Macaca mulatta: one gene and its partner. The protein of the gene in region 1 purifies or fractionates together with the protein of each later gene. This does not show direct contact. Links are inferred from orthologs where the notes say so. Each region holds a gene or a part of one and is shown in the gene's direction. Other genes may lie near its edges. The genes, in order: SELENOS and DERL1.

Region 1 (4,360 bases):
GTAAGGTGGATTTAAAGCTAATCTGGGACCGAGAATTGCAGCTGTAATTCCAAGAAGTCATTGAATTTAGCACATAAATGTTTCCTGCAAGATGCCAGAGCAAGTGAGAAACCACTCTGTAGCAAAGCAAAGAGTGATGGTGGTTCATCATCTTTTACAACTGAAAGGCAAACATGAAGAAGGAAATTATATTCTCTCCCCTAAAATTCCTCATTAAATTGATAAGCTATCTTTACAGCCTTTATGGATGACATCCAGAGTCCTCGGTTTGTTCATTTGAGGAGTCCATTTTCAAGGTGGCCAAAAGGGGAAAAAGGGCTTTCAGGTTTCTCTTTGCTATGGCTCATGAATGCCAGGTCTCCTTTATTGCTTTCTGAACACACTGCTGGGAAACCTTGATGAGGTCAGTGCTCAAATCCCTGCAGCCGTCCCCCTGGAGGAACTTCTTGGCAAACCTGCGTTGAAGAAACACTGATTGCATTCACGCTTCATGTCGGGGTTTGCCTTCCCCACACTGCTCCTGGCGACGGTGGTGAGGCAGCACTCGGATGTTGTCACCTGTTCATTATTTTTTCAGTTCTATTCCCAATTCCTAACCCTTCTTTTGAGACACAACTAGGTATGTGCACTTCAAATGCTCCAGAAAAACCCAAGGTCAAATTTCAAATAGGATGGTTATGGTCACCATAAAGGTGGTGACATTTGAGTGGTGGAAGAGGGTGCAGGACGACATTGCAGGCAGAGGAACACAGCCAGGACACTATTAGGAGTAACTCTGATCGTGGCTTGTGATGATACAGTATAATTCAACGCAGGTTAGAGCCGTTACTATGATCGTTCTTTCCTAAGAAGTTTTGATTTTGGAGAAAAGAACCTTGAGGATCGGTGGGGGCTTTCTTGGCCTGAAAGGTATCACTGGCAGCAGAAGCAGGAGGCTGCCCGTTTCGTGTTTTCACTTGGGGTGGACGTTGGCTGCAACCCTCAAACGCTGGGAGTCGTCAAACTACTGAGCCCTGTTGTCCAATGTGCCCTGGGCAAGGATGTGGGTGCAAATCCTGCCTCCGGGCGACCACCGGCCTCCTTGGCTTCAGTGTCCAATTAGAAAAAAAAAAGAAAGTAGAAAGTCGGTAAGAAATCCGTGAAAGAGGTCTGTCCTCCACCCCGACTCAAGCCAGGAGACATCACAGAACGTACCAGCACGCGACGTCCGGGCCCCAGCAAATGTAGCCGGGATTTTTCCCCCGCCACGCCCCTCGGCCACGCCCCCTGCGTTTGGCCCAGCGTCGGGGCGGGGCCGGCCTGCAATTGGCCGGGACCACGACCGCGTCCGGGCGCGCCACGTGTGCGTGGGAGCGCACCGGAAGCGTCCGGCTGGAGGCGCGGCGGCCGGCCTGGGCGGCGGTGGTCGTCATGGAGCGGGAAGAGGATTCCTTGTCCGCGCGGCCGGCCCTGGAGACCGAGGGACTGCGCTTCCTGCACGTCACGGGTGAGTCGTTGCGGGGCAGCAGGGGCACGCCGCCACCATGATCGGTGGGTCGTCCTTCGCTGCTCGGGGCGCCGGAGCCTGGGAGGCCTGGGAACGGACGGGCGTTGGCGCTTACGCGGACTCTGGGCAGCAGGCCCGGACCTTGCGCGGAGTCTTCTCGGGAGCCGCACTTCCTTAGGCGGCTCGGCTGGCCATTGTTTGCGCAAGTCTTTTTTTGCGAACCAAGCCCTTATTGTTGTAGTTACTGGGGTCACTCGGCCCTTGGCGTTTGCCTCTGGGACCTGCCCCACACAGCCCCCTACACACTGCTAACCCCGCGCTGTCACCCCTTTATATGTGGTTCCCTAGGTCTGAAAGGCCTTTGCCTTCCTGATTCAGATTAGTTGCTCTTCATTCTTCAAAACCCAGTTGCTGTGCCCTGCACACTCTAACTGCCCCCTATTCCCCAGATGGTTGAGAAGTCTCACTTCTCAGTGATCCCTGAAGTGTCGCACTTCTTGTTCATATTTTAACGATCTACTTAGGAGGCTTTGTCCTCAGCCTAGACCATGAAGGCTTTGAGGTCAGGAGTTAGACTGACTTTGCGTTCGTTGAGTCTTATGGAAAGGTCAGCTAGTAGTGTCATTTTTAGTTTTTTTGAAAACTTTTTTTTTGCTTTTCAGTGGGCTCTTTGCTGGCCAGCTATGGCTGGTACATCGTCTTCAGCTGCATCCTTCTCTACGTGGTCTTTCAGAAGCTTTCCGCCCGGCTGAGAGCCTTGAGGCAGAGGCAGCTGGAGCGAGCTGCGGCTTCTGTGGGTTAGTGCCTGATAACCGAAATGAAAGCGGTGGTTTTACACCTACTTCTTTATATTAAGATTTAGTCTCTTGTTAAAAGTAAGACGGACCACATAGCAAGACCCTGTCTCTATTTAAAAAAAAAAAAAATAGCCAAGAGTGGCAGCACACACCTGTAGTCCCAGTGCTTAGGAGGCTGAGGCGGGAGAATAACTTGAGTCTAGGAAGTCAAAGCTGCAGTGGGCTATGATCGGGCCACACAACACTCCAGCCTGGGCAATTGACTGAGACCTTGTTTTGTTTTGTTTTTTTTTCTTTAAAAAAAAGGAAGTATATGGTTCTTGGTTGGGCGCGGTGGCTCACGCCTGTAATCCCAGCACTTTGGGAGGCCAAGGCAGGCAGATGACTTGAGGTCAGGGTTCAAGACCAGCCTGGCCAACATGGTGAAACCCCGTCTCTACTAAAAATACAAATATTAGTGGGGCATGGTGGCAGGCGCCTGTAATCCCAGCTATAAGGGAGGCTGAGGCAGGAGAAATCGCTGGAACCCGGGAGGTGGAGGTTGCAGTGAGCTGAGATTGTGCCACTGCACTCCAGCCTGGGCTACAGAGTGAGACTTTGTCTTTTCTTTCTTTTTTTTTTTTTTTTTTCTGTGAGATGGAGTCTAGCTCTGTCGCAAAGAGCGAGACTATGAGTAGACATTATGAGTAGAAATTAGTTCATTTCTACTCATAATGCTATTTGGAAGGATTTTTCTTTTCTGTAGAAACAAATACTTAAGAATCTTACTTCTGGGCTAATTAAGGGATGGATAATGATTTAGAAAACTTTGTATTTCCTTGGTAGTCTTCCAGGATTCCAGTCAACCTAGAGACTGTGGGTGTCACTGAGGTATCCAAGATGTGCTCTGGCTACCATCCCATGCTTTATGAATCGGAATTGCTCAGGAGAACTCAGAAATTGGCATTTCTAACAGGTTGCTGGTGATGTAGATATTTGAGGCTAAAATCCATGGCTCGGCAACAGGACCCCTGCCCCCTGAAGCAGTAAAATATATGCAGAGGGGTTAGGAGTACTCATGTAAAAACGTGTTTCATTGTCTGATGTCCATACCTCTTTATACTTTTAATAATATGGACACTCAAAAGTTTCTATTTTATATTGTACAGAGTGCTTTGTCTCCATTTTTTTCTGACATTTTAGAACCTGATGTTGTTGTTAAACGACAAGAAGCTTTAGCAGCTGCTCGATTGAAAATGCAAGAAGAACTAAATGCGCAAGTTGAAAAGCATAAGGAAAAACTGAAACAGGTATGAACTGGCTTCAGTTTGAATGTGTACATAGAAGTTGTCTGAGGCTTAGTGGATAATGATGCCTGTGTGTGTGTTGTCTATAAGCTTCCAGGACCAGGTCCTATCCCATTAGATTCAGTAAGCATTTTAGTTCCTGTGATGTAAGTGTTGGTGATATCAAGAAGTATACACTATTGTTAGGGAACACTAGATGTGTGAATATATTACAATGAAAGGTCCAGAGCACAAAAGGAGGGACAGACTGGAGCAGGATGCATGTGAGTGTGTGCGTGCATGTGCCTGTGTCTCCCACATTACCAAAAATGTACTGATAGGAATGAGTTTCAGAAGAATGGAGTCAGTAATTTTTTTCGTGAAACATTTTGCTTTCTTTAATAGTGTACAAAAACCAAAGCTTCTCTATGTGAGTTAAACTCATACCACCAGATCACAACAGTTTTATTAACTAAAGAAAACGAGGGTGAAGTTTGTTCTGAAAAACGTTTAAATTAAGAATTATCAGAGTTAGTGTTGTCTTTGACAGAGATGGCAGCTTCTGAACTCTTTCTGTACAATGTGATTGTTTCTCAGCTTGAAGAAGAAAAAAGGAGACAGAAGATTGAAATGTGGGACAGCATGCAAGAAGGAAAAAGTTACAAAGGAAATGCAAAGAAGCCTCAGGTGACTGGAGACCTCGGCCAGCTGGCATGCAGTAGATAAAGATTGCCAAGTAGAATGTTTTAATTGCTTCTTACATCTGTGTGTGTTCAAACAGGAGGAAGACAGTCCTGGGCCTTCCACTTCAT
Region 2 (3,815 bases), on another chromosome or scaffold:
GCACAGTGGCTCATGCCTATAATCCCGGCACTTTGGGAGGCTGAGGTGGGAGGATCATTTGAGGCTGGCAGTTTGAGACCAGCCTGGACAACGTAGGGAGAGCCCGTCTCCAAAAAAAAAAAAAAAAAAATTTAAACAGGTACGATGGTACATGCCTGTAGTCCTAGCCACTTGGGAGGCTGAGTGGAGAATTGCTTGAACCCAGAAATTTGAGGTTACAGTGAGCTGTGGTCATGACACTGCACTCCAACCTGAGCAACAGACTGAGACCTTGTCTCAAAAAAAAAAAAAAAAAAAAAAGTAAAATAACTTGATATTGGCATAGGAATCAATTCCAAACATAATGGTGTTAAAATAGACCTTAATATAAAAGAGGCTAGAGTGTAAATGTTCAATGAAAGTAGTTTTACAAATAATTGGAAAAAATGAGGGTTACTCTGTAAATGGCATTGGGAAAACAGGGCAACCATTTAGAAAAACAGTTGGATCTCTTCCTCATTCCTTGGATGCACCTTGAAAGTGCTAAAATAAAACCGTAAACACTTACATTCTTGGAGCAAAAAGACTTTCTAAACATGACACATCATGGACACATTTGCTTACATTTAATTAAACCTTTGTATGCCAAAATATGGCAAAAATACCATGAAAGTCAAATGACTGATCAGAAAATGCTTGCAATGATGAGAAAGAGAAATTTCATAATGTCTGAAGAAATACAGCCAGGTGCGATGGCTCATGCCTGTAATCCCAGCACTTTGGGAGGCCAGGGCAGGTGGATCGCTTGAGCTCAGGAGTTTGAGACGAGCCTGGGCGACATGATGAGACCCTGTATCTACAAAAAATACAAAAATTAGCCAGGTGTGGTGGTGCATGCTAGTAGTCCCAGCTACTCGGGAGGCTGAGGTGGGAGAATCACCTGAGTCTGGGAGGTGGAGGTTGTGGTGAGCTAAGATCATGCCATTGCACGCCAGCCTGGGCATCAGAGCAAGATCCTATCTCAGGGAAAAAAAAAAAAAAAGAAATGTAAATCCAGAAGAACAGATGAATAAAGGAAATTCTCAGGTTTTTAAAACATGAGAAGGTGCTTGACTTCTCATAATGCAAATAAAAATTAGTTTTCAGATTGGTGAATATATAATACATGAAATGGTGAGAGTATGGAGAGAAGACAGGCAGTCATCTACTTTTTAGGAGGAAGTATAAATCGAGCAGACATTTTTGTAGGCATTTGGCAGTATCTACCAAAATAAATGCTTATGTCTGTTGCTCTAGCAGATTTATTGACAGGAACTTATTCTGTATATGCACATATAAAGAGGATTTACAGGAATATTCATTGTGGCATTGTAACAGTTTAAACAAAAGTTTAGACATTCACATACAAGGAATACTGTGAAACCAATTAAAATATTTTGTCGGGAATGAACCAAGGTATAAAACAGTGCCATATAGAGTAGAATAAAGAAGAATGAGTAATAGTAACATGTGTTTCTTAGAGGAAATACAGGACACTGATCAGCTGTTGTTGGAACTGGGAGACTGGAAGTTGGGAATGAGGCTTACTTGTTACTTTATTATTTAATTTAATTTAATTTAATTTTTTTGAGATGGAGCGATTCTCCTGCCTCAGCCTCCCAAGTAACTGAGATTACAGGCGCCTGCCACCACACCTGGCTAATTTTTATATTTTTAGTAGAGACGTAGTTTCACCATGTTGGCCAGGCTGGTCTTGAACTTTTGATCTCAGGTGATCTGCCTGCCTCGTCTTTCTAAAGTGCTGGGATTACAGGGCATGAGCCACTGAACCTGGCCTACTTATTACTTTAGACCCTTCTTATGTTTTGTTTTTTCAGGGAAATGTTTTTAAAGAAAAAGTGCCCCTATTGCCTATTTAGTGCATTGGTTTGAATAAAAAATTGTTGTTTTACTTCTGCCTTTGTGGCATTTTTGGACAAGGTTTGTCATTCTAGAATATTCTTTCCCTAAATAGAGGCATTACTGTACTGTTGGAAATTAAGCCTTTGTAATTCATTTTTTGATGTAGGCTTACTTGTATGCCTGATCTTAGTAAAGACTGATCATGTACTCATATAGTATTGATTTTGTTTCAACTTGTTTAGAAATATTTGTTGCTTATTTTATGATGTCGTTTTATTCCATTGATCTGCAAATTGATGTGATCGTAACTGGTGTGAACACTTTTCTTCAGCTGTTTTCTTGAATTGTGTTGGTAGTATCACTTTCATACCTCTCATTGAGGAGGATGCTTTGCAGGGTTTATTTTGTTTAGTTAAAAGGGAAAAAAATAAGCAGGCTTACAGAAACTAACAGCTGTGTTTATTTTGATCTGGACAGATTTGGAGGCCAATCACTGCCACCTTTTATTTCCCTGTGGGTCCAGGAACTGGATTTCTTTATTTGGTCAATTTGTATTTCTTATATCAGTATTCTACACGACTTGAAACAGGTATGTTACCCATAGTTGTTTTAAGTATTGTTTCTTTCTCATTTACTAATCTATGTGTTTTCTTTGGAGGAATTTGGAGGGCAGTTAGCATTACAAAAAGAAACTGGGTATGGATAGTAAATGCTCAGTGACTGTGCTGGGACTGCACCAGGCACTTAGCTTATTCAATTTTTAATCCTCACAACATCCTGAGGTATAAGTAGCAGTGTTACCATTTTATAGATGCAAAAAGTAGCAGATCAGAGGTTGACATGTCTTGTCCATCTCCTTAGTGGCTAAGCTGTATACCTCTCATTTATTTTGACAGTCTCACTCATTTCTTTTGCAGCAGTCCTTGTCCTTCAGTGCAGAATTGGGCTGGAGTATATATGTCTCCTAGATTGGGGTTGAAAAACACTATTTTATGTAATTAAAAGCCTAGATTTGTTCTCCAATTGAAAAACTCAACTCTAAAGTACAGTATATAACCAAGATTTAATGATATATAATAGTTTATCAGGTATGAATACCAATGTAATATTTTATTTATTTATTTATTTTTTGAGGCAGTCTTGCTCTGTTGCCTAGGCTGGAGGGCAGTGGTGCCATCTCAGTTCACTGCAGCCTCTGCCTCTCGGGATCACGCAATTCTCGTGCCTCAGCCTCCTGAGTAGCTGAGATTATAGGCACCTGCCACCATACCTGGCTAATTTTTGTATTTTTAGTAGAGACGGGGTTTCACCCTGTTGGCCAGGCTGATCTCAAACTCCTGACCTCAAGTGATCTGCCTGCCTCGGCCTCCCAAAGTGCTGGGATTACAGGTGTGAGCCAACGCGCCCAGCCAACCTACGTAATATTATGGATAAATTCGAAAAATCTTACTGAATTGTCATTTATTTCCTACGATACCTTATATGCTTTTCTGAGTCGCTTACACTAAAGAAACAATGCATCAGTACGCTGTGTTACAGTATGGATATAATTTTGTTAAATTTAAATGATTTTGAAAAGGCTGACTGACTTCAGAGACTTTATAAACTTGCTGGCTGTTACCTCAGGGTAGAGAACTCTGAACCACCCTTAAATGTAAGTCAGTGTTCATGTGGTTGAGAATTGTGAATCAGCCTCATCACTGCAGGGAAATAGTAGGATGGGTATTTGATGTCAAGTAACATTTTTCCTTAAATTGGCATTTGCTACTAGGTTCTTTTTCAAAATAAAGAAATTGTATTAATACAAAGTATAAGGTCATAGACTATTTTATTACTATTGGGAGAAACCTAGTTTATTTCCTGAGTTTTACCAAAAGATGAATAGGAGATTCAAGGAAGTGAAGTAACTTGGCAGAAGTGAAACTGACGACCAG

The links.
Region 2: the proteins of SELENOS (region 1) and DERL1 purify together in Homo sapiens (affinity purification with western blotting; 6 studies listed by BioGRID and IntAct, with this or other methods). This does not show direct contact. The link is inferred for Macaca mulatta from reciprocal best matches to the Homo sapiens genes SELENOS and DERL1.

The regions. Positions count from the first base shown.
Region 1 is NC_133412.1:91,636,316-91,640,675, reverse strand, and holds the start of SELENOS (selenoprotein S), read left to right. Parts: upstream 1-1,338; 5' UTR 1,339-1,410; coding exon 1,411-1,486; intron 1,487-2,148; coding exon 2,149-2,283; intron 2,284-3,465; coding exon 3,466-3,572; intron 3,573-4,145; coding exon 4,146-4,235; intron 4,236-4,329; coding exon 4,330-4,360. UniProt on the Homo sapiens protein: Involved in the degradation process of misfolded endoplasmic reticulum (ER) luminal proteins. Participates in the transfer of misfolded proteins from the ER to the cytosol, where they are destroyed by the proteasome in a ubiquitin-dependent manner.
Region 2 is NC_133413.1:133,452,664-133,456,478, reverse strand, and holds part of DERL1 (derlin-1), read left to right. Parts: intron 1-2,358; coding exon 2,359-2,470; intron 2,471-3,815. UniProt on the Homo sapiens protein: Functional component of endoplasmic reticulum-associated degradation (ERAD) for misfolded lumenal proteins. Forms homotetramers which encircle a large channel traversing the endoplasmic reticulum (ER) membrane.